Caenorhabditis elegans: one gene and its partners. The protein of the gene in region 1 purifies or fractionates together with the protein of each later gene. This does not show direct contact. Each region holds a gene or a part of one and is shown on either strand. Other genes may lie near its edges.

Region 1 (11,544 bases):
ATATATCCCAGCCGCTAGCACGCGCCAAGGCGCGTGCTAACGACTGGCAAAATTTGACATGTTTGACACATATCATCAATTCAATTAATCCTACAAAAATATCTCATGAAAAAAGGTGAAAATGTTCACTTTTTGAACATTAGGATTCCCGCCAAAATATTTTCAAAATATTAAAATTTTAATTCCCCCCCCCCCCCAAAATGTTTCCAAAAAAATAAAATTTTAACTCCCGATGGGTTTCACCACTAAGGGTCTCACCACGATGCGTCTCACCACGATGGGTCTCACCACGAAAGGTCTCACCACGAAAGGTCTCACCACGATGGGTCTCACCACGATGGGTCTCACCACGAAGGGTCTCACCACGATGGGTCTCTCCACGAAAGGTCTCACCACGATGGGTCTCACCACGAAAGGTCTCACCACGATGGGTCTCACCACGAAGGGTCTCACAACGATGGGTCTCACCACGAAGGGTCTCACCACGAAAGGTCTCACCACGATGGGTCTCACCTCGATGGGTCTCACCACGATGGGTCTCACCCCGATGGGTCTCACCACGAAGGGTCTCACCACGAAGGGTCTCACCACGAAGGGTCTCACCACGATGGGTCTCACCACGAAGGGTCTCACCACGATGGGTCTCACCACGAAGGGTCTCACCACGATGGGTCTCACCACGAAGGGTCTCACCACGATGGGTCTCACCAAGAAGGGTCTCTCCACGAAAGCTCTCACCACGAAGGGTCTCGACACGAAGGTTCTTTTTCTCAGAAATTTTAAATTCCAGCCAAAATGTTTTCGAAAATTTAAATTTTGAATTCCCGCCAAAATATTTTCAAAAAATTAAAATTTGAATTCCCGCCAAAATATTTTCAAAAAATTAAAATTTGAATTCCCGCCAAAATATTTTCAAAAAATAAAAATTTGAATTCCCGGCAAAATATTTTCAAAAAATTAAAATTTTAAATTCCCGCCAAAATATTTTCAAAAAATAAAAATTTGAATTCCCGGCAAAATATTTTCAAAAAATTAAAACTTTAAATTCCCGCCAAAATATTTTCAAAAAATTAAAATTTGAATTCCCGCCAAAATATTTTCAAAAAATTAAAATTTGAATTCCCGCCAAAATATTTTCAAAAAATTAAAATTTGAATTCCCGCCAAAATATTTTCAAAAAATTAAAATTTTAAATTCCCGCCAAAATGTTTTCGAAAAATTAAATTTTGAATTCCCGCCAAAATATGTTCAAAAAATTAAATTTTGAATTCCCGCCAAAATATTTTCTCAGAAATTTGAATTCCCGCCAATTTTTGGGGGGGGGCCTATGTGACCCCTCTTGTGTGAATGAGACTGCAAACTACAAAGTTCAAAGACCAAAGATCAAAGATCAAACTACATAGGGACAGAACGACACGCGCTTTATATATAGTAAATTGATATTTTTTTTAATTTTCATAATTAAGACCAGAGATTTTAGTATTTTGTTTTCATTTTGCATTTTAATTGGTCATGTGCTACGTATCTATGCCTGCTTTTTGGAAGTTTTGACTGAGTTTTCGATTTTTGAATTTTTCTACTGGAAACTTGGCAATTACTAGAAATTAAATGCCGCAGACATAACAATTTGAGAAAAGCTGTGAAATCGTGTCGAGACCCATCGCGGAAGCTTCGCACTCAAAAAATGAACAATATAAGGTGTGAAAAAGTAAACAGAAAGTTAGCAGGACAAAAAACCTCAAAAATCAAAAGAAAAGCAAATAGAATTCGTCTCATTGAATTGAGAGAATTTGAGAAGAATTGAACACAGAGAAATGGCACCTGTCCCTTTTTTTTCAATGACCTATTCAAAAAGGACAAGCTGTTAGATTTAAGATTTTGGCGTCAAGGACAGTATCGAAGATACGCTCTATTGAGAAAAGAAAAGAAAATGGTGAATTATTCCTGCGAATTTCAATAACTAAAACATACTAAAAACTGTAACAAAAATGTTGTAACTAAAAATTTAGCAATACTCGAGTTGTTGTTATCTTTGTTATGATTTAATTTTATGTTCAAGCTTTAACAATTATAAGTATTTACTTTCATTCGAATTGAAAAATATACCCGCAAAACATATAAAAAATTACCGGTGAAGATAAATAAATGACAGATAAGTTTGCAAGCTTTAAAAATATTCAATAATTACAAAGGATTATACTTGAACTGGTAGTACATTGAAGACGTGATTCTGATTGCAAGAACATTTTGCAATGCAAATGCAAATTGAAGTGATAACTCCCAGAATCATTCTGTAAAAATGAACTGGTTTTCAGTGAGGACAAACATTTTAGACAATCTTTGAAACTTACAGTCCAAATGCACTACAAGAAGCCATGAGATAAATTCCATTCCCTGTAGATTTGATATTATCTACTAATTTTGAGGCCATTGCTCGGATGCGTTGTACACGTTGAGTTAAGGTGGCTTCCGAAGAAACAAATTCTAAAATTTTTTAAAAGCTTTTTTATGCATAATCAATTGTGAAAATACTTAAAATTGTCGACCATGTGTCCATTCCCGTTTTTGATCACACAAACTACAGCGCCCACGATTGCTACAGTATTTTTTTTTCTACAATTCTACGACTTTAAGGAAAGGCATTTATTCAAAATGATCCCGCCACGCGATCCAAAAATTAATGGATGGCGCGTGGCAAAGCCATTTCGCACAAATGTGCCCTCCTTTAAACTGGTAGAAGTTTAGAAAAAATATATTGTATAGGACCTCTCAAATTTAGCTCATAAATAATTCTACCTCTTCACGGTGGAATTTTATATATTTCCAAGATAAAAACGATTGGTGTATTCGGAGTCTGTGCACCAAAAAACCAATGTTCCCAGGTTTTTATGAATGCTCATATAAAAAAAACTTATGGGTCCAAGCGGGCGCTCAATAGTAGTAAGTCGTTGCGCATGTGCTTTGGCCAGTTAAAGGATTAGTAATGTAACTGTTGTGGGGTTCTGTACCACAAAAAGATTTTTATCTATCGTTTGATCTCTGTGATCTGTTTGCCGGTGAATAGTGTCTTCCCACTTGCTCAATGTCTATCCCTCTCCCTGTGTACAGTGTTATTGTGAGTGAGAGTCATTCTTGACCACCGGACGGTTTCTCAGTGCTCTGCTTGTATTCACTTCTCTTCGTAATATCCTCATCAATAAATGATATTTTTAGCAACAATTGTGAGGAAACAACAACACTTTTTGCTTTAATAGAAAAAATTTCATAACCGAGACTAACCTTGATCAAAGCTGGTCTTGCCTTTTTGAGTTTGCTTTTATGGGGGTTATGAGGTTATGTTGCAAAATGTATTTTTTTTTAAATGTATTTAATTTTTTTAAATGTATTTTAATACATCTGTGAAGTAATATTTCTACACTTTTTAATTTTCCGATACTACTCGAACAACCCCATTAGTGAGTTCCCACTTACCATCTTCGTTTACCACCTTCACCATTGTAATTTTTCTCATCAGTATCGTATCATCAACCCATAATTCACACGAGTATTCTCCAGAATCAGAGAACGTCGTCTGGGTTAGAGTCAGAATTTGATCATTGTCTGAGAACTTTGCTTTCTTTAAGAAAAGTATAACTTGTTGCTGCCGTTTCCACACCATTCTCTGTCGACTGGAAATAAGATCACAAGAGCAATCTATTTTTAATGCGTCTCTTTTTTTAATCAGCATCGGGCTTAAATCAGGGCTTTCGGGGTAGTGGAAGAAGTTTTCTGAAAACTTGAGTTTGAGAAAACAAACAAGTAAAACTTAGAGAATTAGAACAGTAGATTAATTCTGAAAGTTAAAACGATAGATTAATTTTGAAAGTTCTCTGAAAGGCTTACCAAAAACAATCAAATTTGCGCTCGCTTGTGTTTGCCCGGCAACATTAGTTGCATGACAAGTGTATGCTCCTTGATCTTCTTTTGTCACATTCATTATATAAATGTGATCGTCATTTGGTGTTACATATAGCCTTCTGGCTTCTGCGGCTGGAAACGGAATTTGTTCGAATGCCCATTTGATTTCCGGTCTTGGAGTTCCTGTGGCTGCACATAAAAATTTTGCTGTCTGTCCAACGAGAAGTGGCATATCTTCTGGGGTGTACGTAAATTTTGGCGCTTGGTAGACCTGAGAAATAAAGACAACACAAATTTAGGTTCGAGGTCATTACTTTTGTGATGCTTTCCTTTGTTTTGCTTGTTTTCACAAACACGCATAATAAAAATATGTTAACAAGCACGTGGTGCCAGGCTCACAGTTGATCAGCAAAAGTTGATCAGCAAAAAATGCGGGAATTTTTTGCTCAAAATAATGGTGCGTCAGCACCTTCTTAACCATGCGAAGCCAGTTGAGAACTCTGCGTCTCAACTTCCGCATTTTTGTAGATCTGCGTAGATCAAACCGAAATGAGACACTCTGATACCACGTGAGCAAGTATATAATGGTTTCGAGTCATAAATATTTATCGAATCAACTTTGAGCTGAATCGAACAAAACTTTCGAGAGAAATATTGCCAAAATTTTAGGTGTAAAAACTCACTTGCAACTTGACATGTGTTGAAAAGTCTGATCCGAATCGATTCCTTGCCACACATTGATATTCAGAATTATCGGTCATAGCTACATTGTCCAAAAGTAACTCAGCGGCCGCAAGTTCCCTTTCATCAAATGTTCCATTCACAACAGCTGTTCTATTTATGCTCAGGAAAGTTGCAGAATCCTGTACCAAAACTCTAGGTTGACCATTTTCCATAACTCTCCATTCAATGCTCAACGGACTTGCTCCATAGACATTGCATGTAAACCGAGCTTTTTCTCCAATCAAAGTGCTTACTTCTACAGGCTGTCTAACAATTTTTGCTCGGGGAGAATCATTGTGACATGTCAAGTTTGCTGTGTCAATTGCTACAACATACAAGTCTGCAAGAGGAGGTGGGTAGGAACATTTAGCAATAATGGAAGACTTGTCGAGTTTCAAACGGTAAATCCACGATGCGAGCCATGATATTTGACAGTCACAAAGGATCGAAGAGGAGTTCATTACTCTAAAACACTTTTCAGAAATGACACGAGTATTCAGCCGACCACTTACAATCTTTTCAGTTCCAACGGTTCAAATGCTTCCGGATGAATTGTTGCTATCGGATTATCAGTCAGATCTAACTCTTCCAATGCGGGAAATCGTTCAAAAGCTCTTTTTGGAATCACTCGAAGTTGGTTATTCGTAAACCTTAATGAACGAAGAAAAGGCATTGATGTGTTATACAGAACCGCTCCGTCCTCAACACAAACTGCCAGGGTATTTGAAGATAGATCTAGTCTGAAAATTTCATAATAGTTTATTCATAATCTAATAACATCCCCAAACTTACTTATGTAAACTGCTCATTCCCACCAATGCAAATTTGTGAAGACTATCAATTGAGTTTGCTGAGAGAATGAGCTCTTCTAGTTGTCTCAAAACTCGGAATGATCCAGAAGGTAGGGATTGAATCCGGTTAGAATGTAATGAAAGCCATTTCAATTTTGGAGTATGGCTCCACGAACTGATGTGGAAAGATTGAATTTGATTGTAGGACAGGTCCCTGAAGTTTAAGATTTATAAACTTTTTTTGCATTATTTTTTCAACTTTTATATTCATAAAGTCATTACACATTTGTATTAATAATAAAGAAGTCAATATTCATATTCGTCATCTTAAAACTTACAAAACTTCCAAGCTCGTTAAACCAAACATCCAACCTTCCGTAACCGCTTGAACTCTATTAGTTGATAGATTTAGATGTTTCAATCCTTCACAAGCATAGAACATCCCATCATCCAAACGATACACGTCGTTTCTTGCCAAACTTACATTTTGAAGTGATGGTAATTGATTAAACGCCAAAAACCTTACTTCTCGTATCATATTTCGAGTTAAATCTCTGGAAAGTGAAACTGTCTAGAAAAATGAGGTAGTAATCACCGTTCCCAGGTACTTACAAAGACTCCAACTTTCTTAGCCTTGAAAAAGAAAATTGATTTAATGTTGTGATATGATTTCTGGCCAGTTTTAAAGTAACTAGTGTGTTAAAACTGGAAAAATGATCAGTGCCAATGTCTGTGATTGAGTTTGATGCGAGATCTCTGTAAATTGAAAATATTTTACTGCATCTTGTGACCATTATTACAGTTTTTCAATGTTAACTTTTGCGGAGGTAGTTGGTTTGGGCAAGTATGATATCAGGTTTCTGGATAAATCAACAGATCTAACAGCAGCCAAGTAACTCAACTCTTCTGAGGTTACTGTAGATATTAGGTTTGACCGTCTGAGAACTGATTACTTTTTTTCAAACTGATTATTGCAAACTTACAAATCCAGTTTTTCCAAGTGACCAAGCTCGTGTGAGCCACGAGGTATTCGTGCTAAGCGATTTTTTCGAATGTTTCTGTAATGTTTCTGCGTTGTAGGATATTCTGAGGTCATCTACTATTTTTGCAGTCTACTAACATTTTAAGATCCCGTTCAGAACGAGCCCGTGTTTGTCTTAATTACACTTTTTTGCAATCCTTTTTTAATCAAAGACTAAACTTATTGGAACGATAAAAGTCACGAGTTTGTGGTTGGTTACAACTCCACTGATAAGAAGTAACTCTTAGGAATTTTGAAAAACACGCTGTCTTACTGTATATTTATTCATTCACAAACTGTTGAACAGGAATTTGAGGGTGTCTTACTGTACTTGAGTTTGTATTTATAGTTTTTTTTTTCGTTAAAAAATGTATTGAAAATGGAACTTACAAAATCTTAAGGTTTGGCAAATTGTAGAAAAATTCGAAATCGATGTGTCGAATAATGTTGTTCGAAATATCTCTGCAAAGTTATTATTTTTAAAGAACGATTTTTGGGATATCAATTTATTGTATTTATTAAAAAAATTGAAAGTTTCCAAAACTTTTTTATTTTCACTGAATGGTACTGTAGATTTCAGAACAAATTCAAAAATAGGAAACTCAAAAATTATTTTTATTTTAGCTCTTCACCCATATTAATGTTTTTTTAGCAATTTACTTTACTTTAGTATTTCATTCAAAAACACTGATATCCCTCAAAAAACTTACAAGGTTTGCAAAAAATAAAATCCTTTTAGTCGCGATTTATCAATCGATTCTATTTCATTATCAGAGAGTAGTAAAATTCTTGTGTTATTAGGTATCGTCGTTGGTATTTCCGATAAATCGAGTGAAGAGCAGTCGACAACATTGCCAACACAGTGGCATAGTCCAATGCAGACAGTATCAAAAGTAACGACTTTTGGAAGAAAATCATACAGAATTAGTAGTAATAGCGAATATACAATCATGTCCACATTTTTGTCACAGAAAACCTGAAAACTTAAAAAGGAAAATATGAATAAGGTCGGAAAAAAACCAATGTCCAAAAAATTGTTTTTATTAAAATAAAAAATGCTTAATAATCGCAAAATAGCACACATGTGACCCACAAAACTGACGAGAGTGCAGAGAAAACGGAAGAGAAGAACCTCAAAAACTATCGTCTCGCAATCTTTTTACTGTTTTAAAGAACGACAAATACCGAATCTATCTCAAATAAGACTTAACAAACTGAGAGACTCAGAGACATTCAGCAGATAACGGCGGAGAGGCGCAGTTTTCTTTAGTAATAGAGATTTAGAGAAAGAGAGTACTGTTGATAAGAATTTAGTTTAGACAGTTCGGCGTATTAAAAATGAAAATATAGATTAAATATGGGTTATTGATCAGTTAAGCTTTGATAAACTTCTTGCATAGGTATACAATACTCGGCATTTGATTCCAGAGCTTGCTCGAGTATGGCCTGAAAAATATTGACTTGGGTCAGAAGTTGGATATACTTGAGAAAAAGATGGGCAAGACGTTGGCTAAACTTGGATTTAAGCTGCGCCAAAGTTAAACCCAAGCTTGGCCCGAACTTTCCTTTTTTAGCTTTAAATGTGGACAAAAATTTGACAAGAGTTGGGTCAAACTTGGGTTAAACTTTGGCGCAGCATAAATCCAAGTTTTGCCAGAGTCTTGCCCAACTTTTGCCCAAGTTTAGCCAACTTCTGTTCCAAGTTAATATTTTTCTGGCCAAACTTGGGCAAGAAGCTGAAGCCAAATGTCGAGATATTTCCTCTATAAGTGCAGCTTCTAGTATTCTTTATAATAGTAGCCTTTATTAGTAGTCTTGCGCCTTGACAAACTACATACCATGAAAATTAGTCTTTCAGCCCATATTCACACTTAATTTTTGAGGTGTCTGTCCACCAGGATTTTTGCAGAATTGGCCTACTCGACATACGATTGTCAGCGGAATCGGGCACAATGAGCAACACCGCGACTCGCAAACGGTCGAAGATTGTTTCCAGCTTGATCACACCCCCATAAATCTGCGTTGTAGGGTTAGTTTCCTCTTTCTTTTTTATTATTCGCTCATAATTTTCACTTATGTGAAACTATTGGTTATACACATCATGTGCTTCGTATAATAACCACCTTCAAATATTTCTTCATAAAATGGCTTCAGTTTTCTGATGCATTCTCTTTTCTATCTCAAAACAGACATGTTCTTGAAATTTTTTGGCTCGATTCCCGTTTACTCAACAATTCAGTACTCGATAGCTGTGATATCACTACCAGTTCAACTATTTGGCGTATACTGTATTATCGCAAAGACTCCACCGACAATGTGTTCTACAAAACTTCATCTGCTAAATTTTCTGATGTGGTCTATGGCATATGATATGATTATGACCTGTGTGGGTCAACCATACCTTTTCTCTACTACAATGGCCGGAATTCCTTTAGGGTTTTTACACATGATAGGTATAGGGACGGGAGCTCAAATTTATTTTGGAATGACTATTGCAGCATGTAGGTTGAAATTTTCATTTAATTACCTTGTAACCGAAAACCGTAAAACCTCCATCAAAAACCACAAAAAACCAGATTCTTCAAATTATTTTCAGTTTGTGCAATATCCACAGTTCAGTTATTCGAGAACCGCTTCTTCGTGCTCTTCGCAGAGAAAACTTGGTGGCGGCATGTCAGATACCCGTTCAAAGTGTTCAACATCACCTTTGGAGTGGCATTTTATCTTCCAACTTATTATGCTATGCCTGACCAATATCTTCCAAGGCAACAATTATTTATGGTACATCCTGAGCTTATTCAATTTGATTCGCCTGAAAATCCTATATTCGTTATGGCTCTCGATTTTCCGTGGATCCCAGTGTACTCTCAAAGAGTTTTTACGATAATTATAATTATTGAAATGATAGTGTTCGGAACATTGCTACAAGTGAATATGAACTGGGCAGTAAGAAAAATGATCGTGTCCAATAAAACTTTACAACTACAACGGGATTTCGTGAAATCCATAAAATTACAGGTCTGTGTTTCAATTTTTTTTTTTTCATTTTTTTCTTTTTTTTTAAGATTTTAATACCACTACTATTCGTAGTTCTACCTTCTGCTTGGTTGGCTATAATGGGAGCATATAACATTTCCGACCAAGGCAGTGGAAATTTAGCACGTAATATAATCTCCCTACATGGTGTTTCATCTACCGTTTTGATGATTTATCTTCAAAAACCGTACCGACAATATTTTAAACAGATCTTTAATTTCAAGTGATGCTCTTAAGGAATGAATTTTTTAATTGAAGAAAACAAACGTATATGATTATGATAGAACATGAGTTGTAGTGAGCGAACAGAGAACTTTGAATAGTTTTTCAAAATTTATTTAGTTTTGTTAAATAGTTTCAAAAAATATATAATGTAACCCATTCATTTACCCGAAATCAAATACTCAAAACAGAAACATATCAAGAAATAAAATATATCCGGTCATCCGAATAGTCTCCAGAATCTTCTCATCTCCATTTCAGTTGTCGTCCCCACTGTTGTTGTATCTTCTGTAGTGGTAGAGGTTTTGGAAGTCGTTTGCAGTTCCGTTGAAGTATCGAACTCTATGACACGTGTTGTTTCAATACTTCTAGGAGACGATGTAAAGTCAGACGTTGATGTTACTTGTGTTTCTTCAAAGAATAGAGTTGTAGAAAGTTTTTCAAAAATGGTCGCTGTTGTGGCTGAAGATGTTTCTTCTGTAGACAGAGTAGTCTGCTCCTTTGTAGAAGTTCCTTCCATAGGAAGCGTCGAAAATGAGGATGTTGGGATTTTGAAGGTTGTAAACTGAGTTGTGGAGTAGCTTGACTCCGTTGTGGTTGATAGTTCATCTGTTTCCATTGTCGTGCTGATTTTTGCTTCTTCCGTTGAAGTAATAATTGATAGATCAGTAGTTGAAGGGATAAATGACGTTGTTATAGGTTCATTAGTAGCTGGCACAGTAGAAGACTCAGTTTCAAACGTGGATGAATGTTCATTCGCCTCCATCGTCGTACTGGCAGGTTCACCCGTTGCTGTTGTGGATGATACTTTAGTACTTGAAGTTTCTAAAGATGTTGTTTCTGGCTCATATGTGACCGATACAGTAGAAGACTCCATTTCATAAGTAGTTGATTGTGCATTTGGCTCTATTGTCGTGCTGATGTCAGGTTCTTCTGTTGATGTATTAGTTAACATATCAGTGGTTGAAGTTTCCAAAGATGTTGTTATTGGTTCATAAGTTGTCGACATCGTGGAAAACTCCATGCCGGTAGTGGACGATTGTTCATTCGACTCCGTCGTCGTGCTGGTGTCTGGTTCTTCTGTTGATGTAATTATTGAAATATCAGTCGTTGAAGTTTCCAAAGTCGTTGTTATTGGTTCATAAGTTGTCGACATCGTGGAAAACTCCATGCCGGAAGTGGACGATTGTTCATGTGTCTTCACCGTTGTGCTGATGGGTTCTTCCGTTGATGTAATTGTTGATATATCAGTGGTTGAAGTTTCCAATGACGTTGTATTCATTTCGTAGGTTGTTGTAGAAGTTGGAAGTGATTCTGTCGTGGGGCTTGGTGGTTGTGTTGTTGTGTGACATCTTTGTTTTCTTGAACAACGCCGCCTTCGATGACATTCTACATATCTAGGAAGGCAGCTAGATCTGATGCATTCCAACATGCACTTCTTCCCTCCAAATTTACAACATGGAAGATGAGCACATCTATGAAAAGCACCGCACCTTCTATTTCTTCTGCATCTATCGAATAGACACAACGTATTTTCTTCTGAGGAATTTTCGGAAGATCCACAGTTTGAACGGCATCTAAATTTATTATGCCGTCGGTTTTCACATGGTCTTCTTTGTTCACCACTTAAAGACGATTCATCAGATGATTCAGCTTTCGAATTACGTAGAATCCTCCAACTCGGAGGTAAAACTCGCCGAGCATGATGTCCGTCCACTCCAATGAAGTCAACTGAAACATAACATTTTAAAGCGTTATTAACAGGGGAAGTTAATGATAACAGTATGAACGGGAAAACTTTTTATAAGTTACATATCTGAAACTCTTTCAAGTGAGAGAATTCAGTAGTGTCGT
Region 2 (8,995 bases), on another chromosome or scaffold:
TGTATTCGGGCTAACGTTCCGTTCTCGAAGCAATTCAGTTGGCCCGGGAACTGAATAAAATGGTTGTTCTTGGTCACAATTCCAGAAAAATCCTACCATTTGTTTCTTTTCCAAGCCAATAATAATCTGCCTTTTTATATTTACAAAGAGGAATTTCATGTGGATTTCCATCAACAATAAGTGTCAGACGGACAGCTTCGATTGATGATTCAGGAAGTTGGTACTGAAATAAATTAAATTATAAATTAAATTCTTGTTACTGGTATTTACCGTCAACACGAATACATCATTTCGCTTGATTGTTCCCTTATTTCTGTTGCAGCTCAATTTTGGATCAAACTTCTTTTTAACGCTGACACGTAGCTTGTACTTGACTTCGGGATATTCTGAAAATTGTCATTTGAAATGTGGACGGACGATTGAGTTGTATTCAAGTTGTTAGCACACTCAAAGAACTATTTTCTCGGAGCTCCAGACAGGTTCGAGGCTATAACATCTAGAAACACTGCAACATGGCCAGTCTCGTTACAGCTTATCTTTAATAAATCGTGGCAATCCGTGTTCTTGACATTACAACAGTTCTTCTACGAGAAGAAAGTTTTGAAAAATGTTCGAGAAATCTAAATTGCAAAACTACGTACTACCACGAGTCACAGAGGTAAGCAAAACTAATTGTGCTCCGATAGAGTGAAAGCTTGTCCAACTGTACCAAATCAACGCAAAATTACACTGACAGAGACTAAAGTTTCACAGAGAGTTGCACCAAAATTTGTAGTAGTCCAGAGTCCCAAGAACCAATTCATTCGACGTCAACTCACCAAGTTCTGCACTATTCAAAATGATACTTGATGACCAGATGCGTTGTTCTCCATTGTCACCAGTTGTGATGGGCAAAAGGCCAGCAAATGAGAGTCTGAGACCAGTCCGATCGTGCACAACAAATGGTGTATTGGTTGTGGACATGTGCGTCAAGAGACGTTTCATTTCATTCGGATTTTCTCGCATTTCGGCTTCTTCCGGCGGTGTAGTCATCACTTCGAAATCGTCTTCTTTGCATTTTAACATACTGCGTACGATGTTAATTTTTGATGAAAACGAAATAATCAAAAACTGATTTATTTTTTTCCAATCGTCAATATTTTTTCGTTTTGAAGTTCTTAGTTGGAATGTCACGGAATGAAATAGTGTGGCAGTAAAAATAATATTAGTTTCAAAACAATTCCCTTGCGTATTATTTATTGTCAGGAAAAAATATACATCATGAATCTTTTCCCATTCTTGTTGCCTTGGAGATTTCATTATTTTGTCGTCTTTTTTGGACTTCAATTTTATATTCTTGTTCCAGTACATTACATGTTTATATTCATAATGTGAGAACTTTTAAGCTTCATTGTGTTAAGCTGTAGTTTCAGAACTTTTTATACTTTCGCTTTTTGAAGCTTTCGGCAACCTTTGCCGGGACTGAACTTTCCAAAAACTCATAGAATCCTATAAAGTGTTTTTTTATTCTAAAACACTGGCACTGGTAATTAACTTAAGTATTCAAAACATTAGTTTCATTTTTTCTAAAATTTCTAGAAGCCCAGTATTGTGAATAAACTAAAGTGCCCTCAAAACGTATCATACTATTACAAAATTGATATTTCCGATAAGTGCTCAGAACTCTTTAAAAAATAATATTTGTCGAGTCCCCAGTAAACTATTAATATTTTATAAGTTGGGAACAACAAAGAAGGAAATGTAGAATCAGATTTTCATTGTCAAATAAATATCATTTTTGAATGACCAAAACTCAAAGCTTGTTTCAGATTTTTCAATATTTTCAGTTTTGGCAAATTTCCAAATTTTTAAATACTTCGGAATTCTTGCAAATTTTTGAGCTCTTCTTTGATCAAAAGTAGGATTATTGGTCGACTTTCAAAATTATGATAGGCGAAGCAATATTGTAACTTGTTATTTTGTTACTTTCCCTATTATGATTATTTTCCCCTGTGTTTGCCAAATTTTCCAAAAAAGTAAATTTTTAAGAAATTTCAAACGGTAAACCCCTACAACATTTGAATACAAAAAAATAAAACTCGTAGATTTTTTTTTGCCGACTTCTAGTTCTTCACTAATTTGTGACTATACATAAAAAATTTCAGTTTTTTTTGGTGTTACTATGGTATTGGGACATTTTTGCACTATAAGCATGGTTTCATGATATTTTCTTACTGACGATTTTAATTGTAGTACTATAAAAATTTGTCGTGCCCTTCCGAATCTTGTATTCATCCGGTGCCCAAAAATCGCTAAACTTCAAACGATAGAAACAATGAATAGATATTGAAAAAAAGAAACACCTGGTGCAACCCTCTTTTACATAAATCTAATCCATCTATTTTTCTCAGAAAAATGGCGCCACGCCATTTAATGACCCCGTCATTTTATGGGGTGGCGCGACAGAAAGGCGCCGCACTTCTACCTATTCTCCGGTCATACATATATCCATTTTGGCGCAACTTTTCCGTTCAGATCATTAGTATCATTAGGCGGACAAGTTGTCAAAAAGAACATTAAGTGAATGATGAGATAGTTAAGAGAGATAGTGTACTGATAGAAGAGGCCGTAGATTGAAATATTGTACGAAACGGAGAGGAAACTCGGCAAACAGTCTTTTCATCTCTACCTCTGTCTTTACTCGTTCTATTTTCATGTTTTTCGCAACTGACTTCATTAACAATATATTTTAATCAATTTATTTGCAAATTTCAGATTTAATGAACATCACCTTTATATTTATTCTCATTTTCGGATTTTTCAATACTCAAAAATGCTCAAAAGACTATGATCACTTTGACGATGAAGACTTAGCGTTGAGCATTCCAAAAAATGCAATAGGAGTTCCAAAGGAGTTCAGGTACATGAGTTTTTATATTTTATCAAAAATTCAGTTTTTCTTATCAGGCAACAAGTTTTAAAAGAGATGAAGCTTCGGAACAGACCCAATGATATTTTGAAAAATCGATGTTATTGCAATTATGATCAGTCGATATGTGGAAATAATATGACATGTGTGAAACAAGATGGAGCTGCTTGTTATCATGCCGTTGAAGAGGTAAAATTAACTTGTAGCTCTTGAAAGTTTCCGTTTTATTTTTTGGAATATTTTTACACCATGGAGGTTAGCAACATATGATCTAGGCGTTACCAGTTTTTTAATGAATGGATTTTTCTCATTTCTTGAAACTGACAAATTATAATAATTTTTTTTTTTTGAAAAATCGATGTTATTGCAATTATGATTATTTTCAAAATTATAAAAATAAATTTTAGGTTTATAACAAAGCTGAAAAACGAATGGAAACTCTTCATAAATGGGGATGTGCAACACTGGAAAGAGGAAGTGGAGCTTCACATTTGACGGTGTTTCATCGAGTTTTTTGAAATATTTCACCAGGTGTTTTTCAGTGTAATTCTTGGAGAGCAGCTCACCATTCTCCTAAAAGTATTGGTTGTTGCTATGAAGGTAACTATTGCAATAAGAATTTGATTCCGCCGGCATATGTTCATCATCACAAGGGTGAGTTTTTTTTTAATTTAAATTTTTTAACAGGGACTATTCAGAGAAAGCACTTCAAGAGAAAACTGACAATCCAGAAGACTATGATTCTCCACTGGAAAACATGACACGTGGAGGAAAAATGTTCATAATGGTATTTGCAACAGTCATGTCGGTTTTTGCAGTCATTGGATGTATTTATTTATGTATTACAAGAGCAGGTGAGACAGTTTTTAAATTACTAAATTGATATTTTGTTTCAGAAGAAAAATCTAAAGCCAGAGCCAGAGCCAAGACGGTGTCTCTGAAAACAGAATCAACATACATGGAGAGCAAATCAATGCTCGAAGACTCAGGGTTCGTTTTTATTTCCTAGAGTATTTGCGATATAGAGATATCATACCCATTATTTTGAAAGTGATGTTTTTAACAAATACAATTTTCAGAAGTGGTTCTGGGCAGGCTGCGTTGATCCAAAGGACAGTGAGACAAGATTTAACAATTATTAAAACAATTGGACAGGGAAGGTAAAATTAATTCTTATTTTAATCTTTGTTGCCTATATTTTTTAGATATGGAGAAGTTCGCAAAGCTCTGTATCGTGGAAGTTACGTGGCTGTAAAAACATTCTACACAACTGATGAAGATTCATGGAAAAATGAAAGAGATGTATATCAAACTAACATGATCAATCATGAAAATATCCTTCGTAAGCTATTTCAGTAAAATTACTTTGAATTTCAAGAATTGTTTCAGAATTCGTGGCGGCTGATATTTGGAGTGAGGAAGATTCAATGACAAAGATGCTTCTTATCACTGATTATCATGAACTGGGATCTTTATCAGATTATCTTTGCCGTGAAGAAACATTGACAACAGATGAAGCTCTTCGACTTATTCACAGTTGTATATGTGGTATTGAACATCTACATGCAGCTGTACACGGAACTGGAAGCTTTAGAAAACCTGAAATTGCACATCGAGATATTAAATCAAAGAATATTATAGTCAAACGACCAAATGTGTGTTGTATCGCTGATTTGGGTTTGGCACTACGATAGTGAGTTATTTCAAATGATGCATCTGAAAACCAAAGATTTAGTTGTTCTGAAATTTAGAAAGAATAATGTTTTCAGTCAAAACGACAAAATTCTCCCTGAAAAATTCAATGTTCAAGTTGGAACAAAACGATATATGGCTCCAGAACTGATATCAAACAAGTTGAATCCAAAAGATTTTTCTCAGTTCAAGATGGCAGATATCTACTCAATGGCACTTGTTATGTGGGAAGTTGCAATCAGGGTTGAGGTATGATTATTCAATGAGTTTAAAATAAAGGCCATGATTGTAGGTAAACACCTGTGAGGAAGTGTTAACTGTCGATGAGACCTCTCCTGATCACAGTGCATCAAGTGGTATCGGAGAGTCAGTTAGTTCATCTGGTAATATATCGAGAATGCATCTACAAAAAACAAATGTAGAAGGACATTCTACATCTCTGAAAGCAAAACAACATGTCCCACCATTCGATGGAATCGTGCACAATGATCCCAATTTTGACGAGATGAACGATGTAATTTGTGTACGTCGAATACGTCCACCACCGGATCTTGCCTGGAAAAACGTCCCAGCACTTAATGAATTGAGCAAGTTGATGGAAGACAGTTGGCATTCAATTCCACACTTCCGACATTCTGCTCTTAAATTGAAAAAAGAAATGGCTGAGTTGATCAAAAACCCCGACAGACAGGTAATTCAACACGTTAAGGAGCTATATCTAACTCTATGTTTTCAGAATCAATCGCAGCGTAAAGTTGAATTCCAACAGCAAGACAGTGGCCTTGTTGAGTCAGCCACCAATCAATCTTAACCCACTTTCTGATCTTACTTTCGTTGTACCAAAATTTTTGGCTTCTTTAAAATCAATTTTACTTTTTCAGTTTTGTTCATATTTCCACAACGGTCAAAATTTAAAGCGATCTCTCTAATAATTTCCCATCAATTTTTTAATTGTGCAACTCTTATGAACTTGTTCTCATCTCGATTTACTGCAATTTTTGTGAATAAACATTGTTCCAGACCTGTACGTTCGTGTTGTAATTATGCGACATTATTGTCCATCATTGCCTAATATTTCCTTGATAGATTGCCGATAAGACAAATTCTTAACTTGCGCTCCCTGTGGCAGAAGACGGAGCAAACAAAATTATCAGCTCAACCATGTTTAAATGTACGTTTATTATCTCTCTATCTGAATCTATCTGGATTGGTGTGCACTGCATTTGTGAGCAAATATAGGCATACTTGTACGTGGTTTGATAAGATAATACTGCACCGTTAGACAACTCTTTTGGGTGAAACAAAAGGGAGACAACTGCAAGTTGCATCAGTTGGAACAATGAAACATTAATTCGTTAAAACACAAAGCACATCTGATATCATTTTCACAATTTATTTCGTTTATCACATATTTTAGAAGATCATCCTTTTGTAAAGTTAAAAGTGGATTCATGATATTTTAATTTTGACAAATCTCGACTAGAAAATTTTTAAGGATATCAAATATTTCAAGAAATTTCTGCACTGCAAGTTACGGCAAAATGTCCATCTGTCTGGATTTATTTTGTAGGTGAATCACTTGACTGTAGAAATCGAATATGATGCATGCAACTAAGTCTTTATTTCACAAAGCTTTTTAAAGTATTTTTTCAATTGTAAATTTGATAAATTCAATTTTAACTTCGCACACAAACCAGAAAGATCGGCAAATCAGCGAGATTTATCACGGTGTTTGCAAATCGTTGAATAACCATCAGCGTTTTTATATTGAAATTGAAACTTGTTCTGATACAGTAATTTTCAAAGAACCATCCATGTACAAAGAACCATCCATTGAATTTTTAAGAAATTGTTTCATTATAGTTAATTCCAGTTTAATACGGAATGGAAACAGTTAAGGTTGATTTGTCGAAGCAGGAAATGTATTTTCTTATAGACCTGGCACAATTTTTTTACGGGAGATTTGAAAATTGTGCCAGAAACTTTACAATCTAAGTAGGTCCTTTAATTGTATTCGTTTTTTTTTGTATACTGTCTCTATGATTACATCAAATCCCAGACATCTTGACTCCTTGCGTAGATTTTTGTTGTATAATTCTAAGTCTTAAATTATCAAGGCTCTTGTATTCGATGAGAGTGCCTATCAAGAGAGGAATCAAGTTTTCAAAAAAAGAAGCAAACGTAAATTGGAACTGGGAAAGCTTAAAAAAATATTCTGACTTAAGAGTTTCCCATAAGCAAATTGAAATAATCAATCAAAGAAACATTGTGATTTCTAACAAATGTCTTACAGTATATGATATTTACCCGGAACTCATGATAGCAAAAACTACCGTCAACAAAAATCAGAAGTTGTTTCAAAAACAGTTAACCGATTTCTCAAGTCTTGAACTAGAAAATGTGCATAATATCACGTACTTTGTCATGATTTTATGGCACTCTTCCAGTTCAAGAACAAGCGGTTTTCGAGTAGAATATGAATACGAAGTAATTGTAGATAATAATACAAAGAGCACTGTTATCACCTACACCACAATTCTCTTTTATAGTGACACAAAAGTAGGTGGGCTTATGGAATGGTAGATAGTTGAGACACAGAAAAGATGGTTGCCTATCACCAAATGGGCGGTGTCATCGATAACAATGCAACGTCGGGGGGCGACGGAGCAGTCCACATATAGATCGATACTTTTAATTGGTGTACGAAGGTGCAGCAACGGATTGACAAAGGCTCGTTAAAAATAATATGATTAGTAACGATGAGAACTTTGTGAGGGTGAGGGTCAAAATTGAAGGCTAGATGATTTTTGAGATATTGGGCTCAGTGGGGGATTGAGCCTAATATCTAGTATCTAGATAAGTTCTTTAGCTGGATAATCTAAATGATTAAATTAAAATAATATTGAAATATTCATTTTAAAGTATTTTTTGTGTGGCATTCAATACTAATTTCCTGACAAACAGTAAATGATTAAAAGAAGACTACTGTGAACGTTTGTTTCTGCAAATCACTTCTCCAGAACTGAAACAAAACATTAAATACTGGTGTAAAAATCAGAAATACCGTAATCCTTCTATTAGTATTGGCCCCTGCTGCTTTGCTTTAAAGGGTATTATCTCACTTAATATTAAATATATCAATAAATATTACAATACAAACGATAGAAAAAGAACTAACAAATATTTTGTTAGTTGACAAGTTTAAAAAGAAACCTACGACAACTGAGATATAAGCTATCAAAAGTTTACCACTTCAGATCAAGTTAAACTTGTATAAAGATTGGAAGATGTTCACTTCGTTTTTTTAAACAACTTTTACTGGTGATTTCTATCCCCTTTTTACTTTTTTTCAAATCCCGCCATACTTAAATATCGCAATTGATGACCAATATTATAAAAATTGATACTTGCTGATATCAAAATTAGTCAGCTTGTGTCGAGATCCAATGAGACAATCGGTAACCGTACCTACATTTATTTGAGCTTTAAAATGTGTATTTTAATTAAAAAGTGTATCATCTTCTTATAAATAATTTATTGATTAGACATACTGTAATTTCAAAAATGAATCTGGAATTTTAAAGAATGAAAATAAGAAAACAAAATAGAGCACAGATAGAGATCGTTGTACACACACAAGAACCAAAAAGGAAAGGGGGAAGAAAGTTTCTTTGGGATCGCTATGGATTTCAGGTATCTAGTGTACTGAAAACTGCGGTACTGGTACTGGGGCTGTGCTATACTGAAAATAGAAATTTGATATCAGAATTTAAAGAAAAGAAAAGCCAATGCTTCTCTTCGTAAAAGATATCGTATTTACACTGGCCATGGAACATGAATTAATTTGTAAAAATGATTGAAAATTATGATTTAGGATCGTGAGCGGAGTTCATATTTGGTCTTCTTCTCCGAAATTATTGGTTCAGCATTCTCGTTTCCACGGAGATAACTGAAAGCTCCATTCATGTTCTTCTCGCAAGTGCAACATTCACAGTCTATGTTGTTTGGACCGAAGAATTCACTGCCGTAGAAGCAGGTGATTTCGTCACCGGGAACCATGTCACGAAGAACCTGCAAATTTACACATTTGAAATTAACATGATATCAATAAACATACTCGAATGTGAGCTGTACTTCCATGTGATACGAATTCACAGGTCGGCCGACAGTCATGATTGATATAGGCACCTGGACCTAGCCATAGAGTCGAACAGCGTTTTCTTGTGCTGTACATCACAGAGAAATCGCTTCCTTCTTGAGCCAGTATAGAATCCTCATCTTCGCTGGATAGCAGGCACACGACACCGCTGAGCCGCTCAATTTTATCGCCGCGGCTCCAAACCCCAGTTGAAACAAGTTTTGCACCTTGATGACCTTCTTGCGAATAGCGTTTGC
Region 3 (11,704 bases), on another chromosome or scaffold:
CGAGAAAAATGAATTGGAAATTCCATTAAAAACGGCGAGCCAACAATGAAAAATTTGATGAGAAAATTGAAGGGGAATATTCAAGATGACTCTATATATATAGCGAAAATTATGACGAAAATGTCAATTGGAAGTAAAAATGGGGGAAAAATGTTAAGTCCTTAAGAGCTGTCGGCCACTCACAGTGATAACAAAAAAGAGCAGCCGACATCATAAAAGGTTCGCGCATCCAAGAAGTTGTTGCCCATTTTGATCGCGACAGATCTGTACGAGCAGCCGGATTCGTTCAGAATTGCCGTAAGACGTCGGCTGCTTTATTTTGAAAGAAATACAACTTATTTTTCAAACAACTCAATAACAAAAAAGAAATTGGGTTTGTCTCTTGTTGTTGAGCTCAGATAGCCCATCTTGAAAACTGAGATGTCCTCCACCATTTCCTGGTGGTCTAAAGCGACAATCCACGAAACAAAAAGAGAGAGAGAAAGCACGGTGAGTTCGAATTTCGAGACAAGACTGAGCTTTATTTTTTTGCTTGTGCTGACTGGAGCCTCAATCGAATTCGTTCGCACGCTTCTCAATTTGACACACAGACACACACAAAACATCGAATTCTTCTTAGAAGTGTCTCTCTGAAAAGTGGAAGGAGAGGGACAAGACACGCCAAATATGATTGATGTACAAGACGAATAGAGAGAAGGAGCCAAATTGCGTTTACTCACTAAGAATAGATCGGTTCCCTCATGTTATTTTTTGCTGTTGAAGAAGGAGGAGAAGAGAAATTTCAAAAACCGTGAACTTTTGACTTTTAGCATGTGATCCGTCGGGTGTCGGCTGCTGCTGTCAAGAACTGGAAGCAGCCGACATTCTGCGGGCCCAGTAAAGATTGTGTGAGTGGAAAGCTTTTTGGATTAAAAAGCTAACATAAAGAAGGGCTAGGAACAAAAATAGGCGTCGGTTGGCTACTGCCGTACAAGGAAATGTTTTATGTTGAAATAGACGGAAAGTTGATAGTCAATAACAAAATAAGAAGTGAAGGAAACATTCTAACTAGTGGCAGGTGATGAGGCATATCAGCTGTCTAAAAATGGGTATTTCCGGATGAATCTGAAAAAAGAAAAATGTCAATTTTTCGTGAATAGCAAGAAACATTATTTAATTTTAAGTGTAAAAAATGAAGAATAAATAATCAACTGATATACAAAAAAAGATTCTTGTGTGATGTGAACTGCCAATACAAAGTTATCACAGATCAATGAATATAGTGAATGAATGAGAGAATATGGGGATGCCCCATGGGCTGAGGTAAGTTTTTGAGTTAGTTGGATGAGAGTGGGCAACTTGGTTGAGTGAGAGACAATGCAAGAGATCAGAGATTTTGGAAGAGTTTTAGACGACGAAGACATAGAACTTTTAGCGGTTCTTATATTGAACGTCTGTAAGTTGATATATACACCGGTTGTGCTCAAATTGAGATCATTAGGGGACGCGTAAGTAGAGACAAGGTGGTGGGCCAGCGGCGAGGGGCCCGTGAGGTGTCCACCGCTACATATAGACTAGAATAGGAGAGGATGGGAGTATAATCATAATATAAAATAATGTTAGATTTGAATGAATAGTTATGTTGTAAACGTTCCAAACGTCCCTGAAGGCGTTGGTGTCGACGCTCGAGTGTCTGCCCCAGCTTCGTATTCAACTTGCCGTTGAGCATTCATAAGGTCAAGCTCTTCTCTTGAGAATAGCATGTTCGTCGCAATATCGTAGATTTTCTCGACTATCGGGAGATCCGGCAGCTCTTCGGGCTCTGGCTCCGCGTTGTCTGGTTGGAGGATTCCTCCTGAAAAATAATTTTTGTTTATAAAAAAGGAAAAATAGCAGGCGACACTTTACTAGTTACGCCAGGCAAATAAGGTTTTGGAACCCGCAAAACGTCGGTTGCTCGTTGGTTCACGCAGCGGGCACTCTTAAAACATCAGTGAACTCACAAAACATCGGCTGCTAGGGACTAGCCAATCATTTCAGAAAACTGTTACCACAAAACCAATTAATTAGCCGTGAGATGTTTTTTAGCATAGCCATTCGTATCCCATAAGATGTCGGTCGGTCATTTACCAGCATCCTACATTTACCTACACAAACGTATAACTAGTCAGTGAGATGTCGGCTGCTCAAGGTTTAAAGCTATGCTGCATTGAGCATCCGACATCTCCTGGGAAGTCACCTAAAATTTAGAAACTGCTTTTCACAAGCAGCCGACATCTCACGGGTCATGTCAACTATTTATTCGATTCACTGTACACTCACCATTTTCAAGGATCACAGGAATCGGCGGAGGTGGTGGACACGAATCAAAAAACGGATTCGGACTAGGATGTTGTCTCTTGCTGGGTGACGACGCATGATAATGTTGCATTTCTTCGATACCCTCCGGCTTCTCACTTTGTTCAACATCATCAACACCCCGATTCTTCATACTACTTCCACTGTGATACCCCTCCGAACTGTCCGGTGAGCTCATAATATGATTCCATACCCTCGCGAACGCACATCCAGCTGTAATCCGTGCACACGCTTCGGGATCCCACATCTCTTCCGTAACCTTTTTTAGCAGACTCATATATTCATGTTTAATAATCTCATCTCTCCATTGTGGTCGTTCCTTCTTGCTCACCACATAATTTCTCATGAGACCAATTGTGGGATCAAATCCGATGACTTGAAACGGCATTTGGTAGTTTGGTGGCTCGTCGGTTTGGTGCAACTTGGTACGGGATATGACTTCCCACATGACGAGTCCCATCGAATAAACGTCCATCGCTTTGAAAGCAGTTGGCGTGAATTCGGTTGCTCCTTCGAGCATCTCTGGTGACATGTAGCGTTTCGTTCCCACTTGACCCAGCAAATCGCTTTGCTCAATGTCATAGCTGTAGATTCGGGCGAGGCCAAAGTCCGCGATGCATGTGGTCATGTCGCTTTTCACAAGAATGTTCTTCGACTTGATATCTCTGCAAAAAATTGGTTATTGAATTGAATAAGTACAGACATTAGAAACAGTTTGGAGCATACACTAACCAGCGTCGTGCGTCGTTGAAACTCGCTACCTGCTCTTAAAAGGTAACGTAGTGTTACTGGGAGCATTGGTTAGAATCTCTCCGATAGTAAACCGAATATCATAATAACACTTTGTACACAATTTTCCCGCGAAATTTATATTCTGATTATGTTCTAATTAACTCTAGATACTTTAGGTGTTCCAATGTACAAAATTGTTTGAATTTTTATTTTTTTTCTAAACCCTAACTTTTCGAAACTTCAACTGAAAATTGTCATGCGCCTAAAAATTGGTTTTTTTTTTTCAATATTTTACCCTATCATTTTGGACTCTATCGTGTGTATTTCAAAAAATATTTACTGGAAATTGCAGCCGACAACTTGTAGGTCCACGCTACTATTAATTGATCCTGAAAATGTCGGCTGCTCAAGCGCAACTTAGCAACTTCTTCCGATTTTTTCTAGGACCAACCTAGAGTAAAGTTCTGAGCATTAAAACTAGTTGGAGGGCGATCACAAGTCAGATCCATTAAAAATTTTCTAATTATTTTCATTTTCCACTAACCTGTGAATAATTGGCTTCTTTGGGTGTCCAAAGAAGTACGGCCTGTCGTCATGCAAGAATTGAAGCCCATCGATCATTGACATAATAATTCGATTGGCAGATGTAATACTAATTACATTATTCTTGAGTAACTCATAGAGACTAAGTCGCTCATGAAATTCGGTCACAATCCAATACTCATCACCAATTTTCTCGGCGCACACAAATTCGACGATACTTTTATACCACTTCGGGTACTCGTTAAGCTCATCAAAGATTCTTTTCTCCGCCAAAAAGCTCGCTTTTTGGAATTCGTTCAATTTCTTCACCGCAACCAATCGTTTCTCACCACTGTCTGGGGTGTATTGCGCCTTGAAAACTTTTCCAAAACGTCCCTTTGAGATTAACTGCAATAAACGAACAAATGTCATTGAGTGTAAGTGTGACGTCAATCAGCTCATGAAAAGAGCCTTCTGTTGTTTTCAACATTTTTTCTCAAAGATAAAGAAAAAGTAAGGAAAAGCTCAGAGTTCACAAAGTAGTGGACATCAAAAGTTTACACCGTGAGGTCGAACTTCCGAGCAAAATATCAAAAAGACGAACTATTATGAAGACGCGAAATATGTGAATTTTGAAATCAAAGTGCAAATGCGCTCCAATGCCAAATGAAAACGTTCCCCGACACTGTTAAAAAACCATAAATTCAAATGTTTTCAGAATTGTTCGTTGTTTTTAAGTTATGTTAACAATTGTTTTTGATAATTTTTAAAAAATTCATGTAAAGCTGAAAAGTTTCACCAATATGGTTTTTTTTTCAAAATTCAAATGTTGTATTCTAGATTTAGAGAGCATGTTTCAATATAAAATATCAAGCACGACTCTTGCGGTACCTACATACCTGAAAATCAGTGATCGGCAGCTCCTTTGGTGTCTCCACCATTTCAATCATTTCCTCTTCCGGCTCCACGAGAGGCACATTTCCAGCTTCCAGTGCGTCAGTTTTTTCCTGAAAATTTCGAAAATTGATTCGATTTCAAAAAAGACAAAACTCGCCATGTCAAATTTAATTTTCTGCTGCTTTTTTATCTCCTCCTTCTTATTCTGCTGAAATTTCCAACCAACGTATGCCAAGATCAAGAGTGCAATACAAAGGATCACTGACAGTGCGATTATGATGATCCAGTAGAATGGGAACTTGTCTGCAAATTCGCTCCATTGAGAAACTGACAAGAGTGGGGGATGTGTGGTAGAGGGTGTTTAGCACCTAGTTAGTACCCAGCTAGCCCCGAGACGTAGATGCAGACAGTACCTAGAGATTCCAAATCCATGTTGGATGGAGTTGAAGCCCACAGAAGTGCAGAATTATCCGAATCTGAAATTTTATCGGCTCTAAATAGGTGATTTCAAAATGTGTACATGTTTTTATTTGTATGTGTGTGTGTGTGTACAGGCATCTTCCACGGGTGCAAATTATTACGAAAAAGCGTTTGTTTCACTTTGCAACGACACTCCGCTCACTGGAGGGGAGGAGCCAAATAACAGCAGAGTGTCGTTGCGAATCGCCTCTAGAAACAGAAAGAACAAAAGAAAGTTGAAATAAAAAAGTGGTTTACTTGCAAAGCCACAAGAACAAACATAAAATTGCATGAATGGTGTGTGTGTGTATGTGTGAGGGGTAAGAGAAAATTAGGAGACAATCTGGAGAGGTCCACGTGCATTTTTTTCGGAGAAAATTAGGAAAGGGAAGAGAAATTGGGAACAAGGTTTATGACAACTGCAGGCTTTTACAGAGGTGGATTCTTTCAGGTTGAGGGTACACGGGGAAAGGTTGGGAGGAGTATAGCTAAAGTAATGGGAAGTTCTCCATATTTTTCTTAATTTCCGATTGACTTCCACCGGAAATTTGTTCAGCTTTGGCGCAAAATATTGTCTCAGGGCTAGCTGAACTATCTTTCAATGTTTGCCAAGCTCTCTCGAGCTTTCTTCTCAACCTCTGCTCGGTTATCCTTCTCTCTCATTGTCTCAACTTCAAATTTTATCATAAACGCGTCATAAGGTTGTCGCAGTTTGGACGAACGTTTGCTGAGATCCGTAGAGACCATTCAAAATTTTCTAATGGGGTTATTCAAGTAATGTAGCAAAATGCATTTAAATACATTTGTGACGTCACAAATGTATTTAAATACATGTTTTTATCTACTTGAATAAGGTTGTGACGTAATTTTTCTACACTTTTTAATTTTCCGACACTACTTGAATAACCCCATAACCTCTCTCCAACTTTTTTTTTCAACGCTCATAAATTAGTTGAAGATTCGTCGCAGCTTCCGTCTTCCATCTGGCCCGCTCCTCAACTCCTACTCTCGTCTTTCACTTGTCGAAAGCTTGACTCAGATTGATCACACTTCGCGTCACTTTCCCTATTACTGTGGCCGAGCTCAAACCAAACATCGCCAAACTCTCTCGAACTTTCGCCTGAACGCTTCTACATTAGGACATATTGCAATTTGGTGCTTCTCATTTGCTCGCAACGTTTGCCAACTTCCGTCCACTATCTCCCTACACTCGTCGTTAGTTTGCCACATTTTTGTCTAACTTCCTGGGAATTTTCTCGAATGTGCTCCAACTCTGTCGTATTTTAGTTGATGGGAGGCAACCTCCGTATGATGAACCGTATTTCGAAAAAATAACTAGGCACAGACACGCGTGGTTGTTCAACTTTCGTGAAAATTCTGCTAACTTAAAGCTAAATGTTTCACAGAAAACCTCTCATTTCAATGCCAACAATTTCTCCCTAGCCTCTAGCCCCAACGCTCACCCGAAAGAAGGTTATTTAAACAGAAAGTGGGACAGAAAGAAGGTAAAAAAGGTAAAAAGAAGGAGGTGATATATATGTATATTCACAAAAACAGAATCATTGCGTGTTGCTCTAGTATACTAAGAATGGGGTTAAACATGGGATATAGTGCTCTCTTAATATAATGTGCTCACTGACCCTTCTTCAATGACGGGTTGACCATCTCGATGAGATCCGGCATGTTGCAATTGTTGGTCGAACAGCAGCACATTCCAATTCCGCCGCGAAATGATCGTCCTTGGCGACACTGAAATTCCAGTTTTATGAGGTGCTCCGAATGCTGAAATATAACTTACGGAGCTTTCGTTCTCGCAGTTCATCGAGTCCGCGTGCTGATACGGCATACATCCCAGACTTTTGTATTGCGGTTTATCAACTTTCAGGTATGGTTCTGTAGAGTTTATCTGGAAATTTTAAGATTTTTGATGTTTATAATATGGATGCATATATCTATTATTATCCCCTTTACTCAATTAATCATCTTTTGAAACATGGGCAGCTAAATCCGGATTAGTTGGTTTGCACATTTTTAATGGATTCGATCAAAATTGGATTGATAAACTCAACAACTTTTAAGTTTGGTTTGAAGAGCTTTGTAGCAAAGGAATAATAAAGCCTTGATCATTAACTTTTTCCGCAGTATTTTTTTCAATTTGAATCAAGTTCCACGTTTAAATCCTATGTCGCTCAGTAAATTTTCAAAGTCGTCTTCAAAAAGGCCAAAACCTTGCTCATATGTATTTGTTTTCGATAAAACTAATGCAATTCTGATTTTAATTTTGATATTCAAATTCCATCCTACAAAACTATCAAAAATCACGAGTCATGTCACCCCAATTTGTTCCAGCTGACAAAGTCATAAGCCAGAATGGAAAAAAAAATGCAAAAGATACAAATACTTCCGCGGATGAAGAGGAAGAAGATGTCACTCATGAATAACAAATGAAACAATATATATAAAGGGCCCCCGTCATGTGACACAGTTCGGTCTGGGGGTGGCCGCCAAAAACCTCTTCCACACTAACCTCTTGCGTGGGCAGCCCAAATACGGCCAAGCATCCGACGGCTTTCAGATGAGCTTCACTGTAACACGTCTTCTTTGTGATTTCACAATCGCCACTCTTTTCGCATTCCATCTCGTCGTAGTACTGCAAAATTTTAAAGTTTAACGTTTTTACTACTGCTTTAATTTTGGGGAAGAGAGCCTATAATTATGGAATAGTGATAACACTTGAAAAACAAAAGGAGTTGTAGTTATTGTAGCTTGCGGGTTTGAACTTATCCCTTTTAGAATATCTTGGTACTTTAAAGTAACTATAGTTAATTGAAACAAGGATCAGTGGAATGTGGGTGGATTGGCTCTGCGACCTCTACAAGGGGAACAGGGCTCACTGGAATTAAAGTGTATTTGATCCAGTAATTTTTAAACAAACGGGAGAGTCACTGATTTCTGATCCCCAAAACGTCAACACTATCTAATGAGCCTAAATTCCATCAAATTGATCCAAAAACTTACTACACATTCAATCGAAATCACTTCATCCTCCTCATTGTCCATTCTCCTTAACGTGGGCTTCGCTGGTGCCGAGACCTTAATAGTGCCAGTTCCATTTGACTGTGCTACTTTGCTGACTAGGGTGTTAGCCCACTGAAAGATGGTTAAACCAAGGAGATAGAATAAAATAAAGAAGTTTACGACAAAAACACATTTTCTCAAAAAATGCTCACCTCTTTCTCGGCGGCTTCCGATTCGATTCGGTCCTGACGATCGTCTTCCGTGACTGCAACAGGAACCGGTGTGGCAATTAAAAAGAGTGGAAGGCAAATGAGCACAAGTGCCTTGAGACGTACTGTCCCTTTCTGATTCATCTGAAAATTGAAGGTAGTTGAATTATTGTAACGTTTTTTTTAAAGTTGAGGAGTAAAATAAATAAATAATTAAGATCAAATGTTTTATTGAGAAAAATAGATGCAAACTTATTTAAATAAAAAAAATAGGTCAACAAATTCAACTTGAGAAAAAATAAATAAAATTTCAAAAATTCGAAAATTCGAAAATTTCGATAAAATTAAATAAAATTGCCAGCTTTGCTAAAATTTCCAGCTAAAATTTTAAAAATTTAGTTTTGATGAAAATTAAATTTCTTAATTTCAAATAAAAGCAATCGAAATTTCGGATAAAAAAATTTCGAATTTCGACATTCGAAATTTCCAATTTTTTTAACAAAAAACTTTTCATTTTTTTAAAATAAAATGTTTGAATTTTACTTCGATGCACCATGAGAGTTCAAAACTTTCAACTAAAAAATGTCAACCAAATTTTTCAAAAATTCCGTAAAAATAGGAATAAATTGCACAATCTCCATCAAACGAAAGATGTGAAAAGTGTTAAGGAAGCACAAAAAGTTTGCAAAAAAAATGAAGTGAGAAGCACACATCAGAAATGAAGAGAGAAAAGAGAAAAAGAACGAGGAAACAGCAAAGATTGGTACACTCTTATCACTTTTACAAACTCTACTCTCTACTTTTTGTTTCAAATAAAAAAAGGTTTTCATTCAATGTTCTCTAATAAACAACAACAAAAAATCAAATGACGTGACAATCTGACCTACAAGAACCTTACAAGAGGGGCTCGCTGTCCTCTTGTGCTCTTTTTCTCATCGGAGGGGGCTAAAGTTGGGCGGGGCCCAAACAGAATGAAGGCGGGATCTTCCGGGGTCTATAGAACGGGAACTTTGAGAAAAATATAGTATCGATGAACACCTGCACCTTATAGGAAATGGGCGAAGTTCGGACTAACTGGACTTTCCATATTTCGGTTCCCAAAATACACTAGCAATTCGAGGAAAAATTAAATAATGTGCTATACACATGTAATGTAACCAAAAAAAGTTTCTCAGGATTATATTTCGTGCGTGGTACCAGGAAAACGTATGTTTTTTTCAGCAGAACGGAATTGGAGTAGGCGTGGGCTCGGCTAAAAGTCTAAAATGAGATTTAGGCTTGGGCTTAGGCTTAGGTGTTCGTCCAAGTTTGGGCTAGATGTCGGGCGCTAAGTTTCAATAAGTTTTCTGTAAAACGTACGAAAATAGAAAGTACCACTCAACGTCATCCTTTCCTTCTTCTTATTCAAAAACATGTCACCATTCGTTATTTCAGGTGAATTTATACTTTTCCTCCTGCCTCAAGCCTCCCCGTCACATTGAATCAAGCGACTTAAGTGGGAGAAGAGAATGTCAAAACGAATATTTTTTGAACATTTTTCATATATTTTTTGTGTTTACCTTGACAACAACAAAGCACTCGCTTTTTTCTGGGTATTATTCACTCGTTCTATTTTTGCAGCAAAAGCCGAAAAAGAAAAGGGGGAAAAAGAGCGTGAAACTCGGCGAAATTCACATGTGACCACGGTGGGTTTGTTGTTGTTGCAGAAGAAGGAGGAGAGGGTAGCAGCAGGCGTGTAAGACCAAAGCTCTCTTATGTTAGATGAAGAAGAAGAAGAAGGAAAAGAGCAAAATAGTAGGAACCTGAAGGCCTCGGAATACCTGAAGGAACCATCGAGTTCAAAGTAAGAGGTCGAAGAACAAGCAATATTGCTCACGATGAGTACACGACGGTTTTGAAAATTATATGAAAAGAGATAATTGTCAAGAAAAAAAATAAATTATTCGAATTTCAATTATTAAAAAATACATACTACCTAATTCGGCGGGAACTAAACTTATGTTTACTTTTTCAAATTTTTCCGTATAACTAGATCAAATTCAAAACATTAGTTCAAGTACTCCTCGTGAACAACCTGTATTTATTTTTCCAAATAATCATTTTTTATTATTTTCTTCCATGAGAACATTTAAAATTGTAACATAAATCTTGTAGCATTTTAACTTATTTTTCGCAACTTTTTTTTTCATTTTCAAAACAGGAAATGTCGCAAAAATTATGGGGTTAGCTACCTATAAGAAGAAAATAAACTTGATGTTGATGATGGGTCGAAAGTATAAAAATTTTAAAAACAGTTTTAAATCTTCAAAAAAATCAATATAAAAGACCTCCATGAAAAGGTCCAATCGTGTGAGAAAACGTTAAATTGCAGCAAAAAAGTGTGGTTTCGCTGTCGGTTCGAGGTTAAACATTAGTGAAAAAAAGGACACAACTTGTTTGCTTTAGTTCTTCTCATTTGAAAAAGAGAAAAGAGAGATAGTAGTGAGAGAAAGAGAGACAAAACAAAAAAGATTGGGTACTTATCATCAGTTATTCAGTGAATTAATATTATTCATGGTCAGTGGGAATAAAAGTTTAAGATTTTATATGAATTTTGCGATTATAAATATCAAAAAATATTAACTATGAAGTGATATAACTCAGAATTGGCAAAAAAAAATAGCACAATCATTGCTCAAATATGTTCAGCACAAACTTTCCTACAATTTGTCAATTGACATTATTTTTCCTAACTCTTACGGAAATACCTCGACAGCAAAGTACTCCGAAGTTGCAAACAACTTCACTAGAACTTTGACTACAAAACACAAACCGTGAAGAACACTTCCGAAAATAATTTATTTGGGAAAATGATGGTCATTACCAGCCCGCCCACGACGCACTCCAAATAGGTCAAACGATTTGCAGGGAGGGTTGAAAAAATGTTGAAAAAGTCACATATAACTTTTTTTGCAGGACACTCAGGGGGAGATGTTTTAAGTGGTCAGAACTTGAACAGTAGATCAGAAATTAGCGGAAAGTGAACATGGATACTAAACATACAATTTTCTGGAATTTCCATAATTGCCAAGAACATTGAGAGTTATCAAGGAATGTTAAAGGGAACCGCATAGAAGCTAGAATGTATCATTTCTCTATTCTCTCCAAAAAAAGAAAGAATGGTAAAATTTACTTAAAAATTCAATTAACAAAATATTTGTCAAAACGTTTGCTATATCTTGTAAGTTGGCAACCCTTTTCAGGCGTGCAAGAGAAAAAAGATAACGAAGCTAAATGTTTGACATTACTAAAACTGTTAGAAAAAAAGATAGAAAAATTGAACGAAAGATGAAAAAGTGTAAAGCAGGAAGAAGGTGAGTTTGCAGATTTTTGACAATCAGAAAAAGTTTCAAAGTTGCAAATTATGACAAATTGGAGCTTTCAGCTTGAGGAGAAAAAGAATGAGGTTGTCAGGGAGATACACTTCTAGTATTTAGTTATTCTCGGCAATGTTTCGGCAACCGCCATTAGATGCTAAAATTGCCCAAATA

Evidence for each region.
Region 2: the proteins of sma-10 (region 1) and sma-6 purify together in Caenorhabditis elegans (affinity purification with western blotting, with the first as the bait; one study listed by BioGRID). This does not show direct contact.
Region 3: the proteins of sma-10 (region 1) and daf-4 purify together in Caenorhabditis elegans (affinity purification with western blotting, with the first as the bait; one study listed by BioGRID). This does not show direct contact.

What each region holds. Positions count from the first base shown.
Region 1 is NC_003282.8:270,466-282,009, reverse strand, and holds sma-10 (Leucine-rich repeats and immunoglobulin-like domains protein sma-10), read right to left. Parts: upstream 7,409-11,544; 5' UTR 7,385-7,408; coding exon 7,143-7,384; intron 6,895-7,142; coding exon 6,823-6,894; intron 6,470-6,822; coding exon 6,395-6,469; intron 6,350-6,394; coding exon 6,212-6,349; intron 6,168-6,211; coding exon 6,024-6,167; intron 5,966-6,023; coding exon 5,750-5,965; intron 5,626-5,749; coding exon 5,413-5,625; intron 5,361-5,412; coding exon 5,133-5,360; intron 5,086-5,132; coding exon 4,581-5,085; intron 4,169-4,580; coding exon 3,883-4,168; intron 3,833-3,882; coding exon of another isoform or gene 3,769-3,832; coding exon 3,472-3,768; intron 2,485-3,471; coding exon 2,352-2,484; intron 2,292-2,351; coding exon 2,195-2,291; 3' UTR 2,071-2,194; downstream 1-2,070. Other genes in the region: srh-282 (Serpentine Receptor, class H), read left to right, coding at 8,747-8,933, 9,029-9,450, 9,498-9,695; crmb-1 (Serine/threonine-protein kinase), read right to left, coding at 9,911-11,133, 11,184-11,267, 11,314-11,421.
Region 2 is NC_003280.10:6,321,730-6,330,724, forward strand, and holds sma-6 (Serine/threonine-protein kinase receptor sma-6), read left to right. Parts: upstream 1-2,754; 5' UTR 2,755-2,759; coding exon 2,760-2,899; intron 2,900-2,946; coding exon 2,947-3,097; intron 3,098-3,315; coding exon 3,316-3,405; intron 3,406-3,450; coding exon 3,451-3,562; intron 3,563-3,606; coding exon 3,607-3,762; intron 3,763-3,804; coding exon 3,805-3,898; intron 3,899-3,987; coding exon 3,988-4,068; intron 4,069-4,113; coding exon 4,114-4,250; intron 4,251-4,297; coding exon 4,298-4,601; intron 4,602-4,677; coding exon 4,678-4,849; intron 4,850-4,892; coding exon 4,893-5,291; intron 5,292-5,336; coding exon 5,337-5,411; 3' UTR 5,412-5,626; downstream 5,627-8,995. Other genes in the region: C32D5.4 (uncharacterized protein), read right to left, coding at 1-50, 97-223, 271-386, 819-1,350; set-4 (Histone-lysine N-methyltransferase Suv4-20), read right to left, coding at 8,471-8,671, 8,718-8,995.
Region 3 is NC_003281.10:5,621,756-5,633,459, reverse strand, and holds daf-4 (Cell surface receptor daf-4), read right to left. Parts: upstream 8,319-11,704; coding exon 8,178-8,318; intron 8,098-8,177; coding exon 7,966-8,097; intron 7,598-7,965; coding exon 7,475-7,597; intron 6,854-7,474; coding exon 6,746-6,853; intron 6,697-6,745; coding exon 6,588-6,696; intron 6,517-6,587; exon of another isoform or gene 5,254-6,516; intron 4,965-5,253; coding exon 4,902-4,964; intron 4,792-4,901; coding exon 4,646-4,791; intron 4,599-4,645; coding exon 4,491-4,598; intron 4,000-4,490; coding exon 3,614-3,999; coding exon of another isoform or gene 3,589-3,613; exon of another isoform or gene 3,362-3,588; intron 3,003-3,361; coding exon 2,302-3,002; intron 1,835-2,301; coding exon 1,617-1,834; 3' UTR 1,138-1,616; downstream 1-1,137. UniProt on the Caenorhabditis elegans protein: Involved in a TGF-beta pathway. May be a receptor for TGF-beta-like ligand daf-7. Controls the decision of whether or not larvae enter a developmentally arrested state, known as dauer, in response to environmental conditions.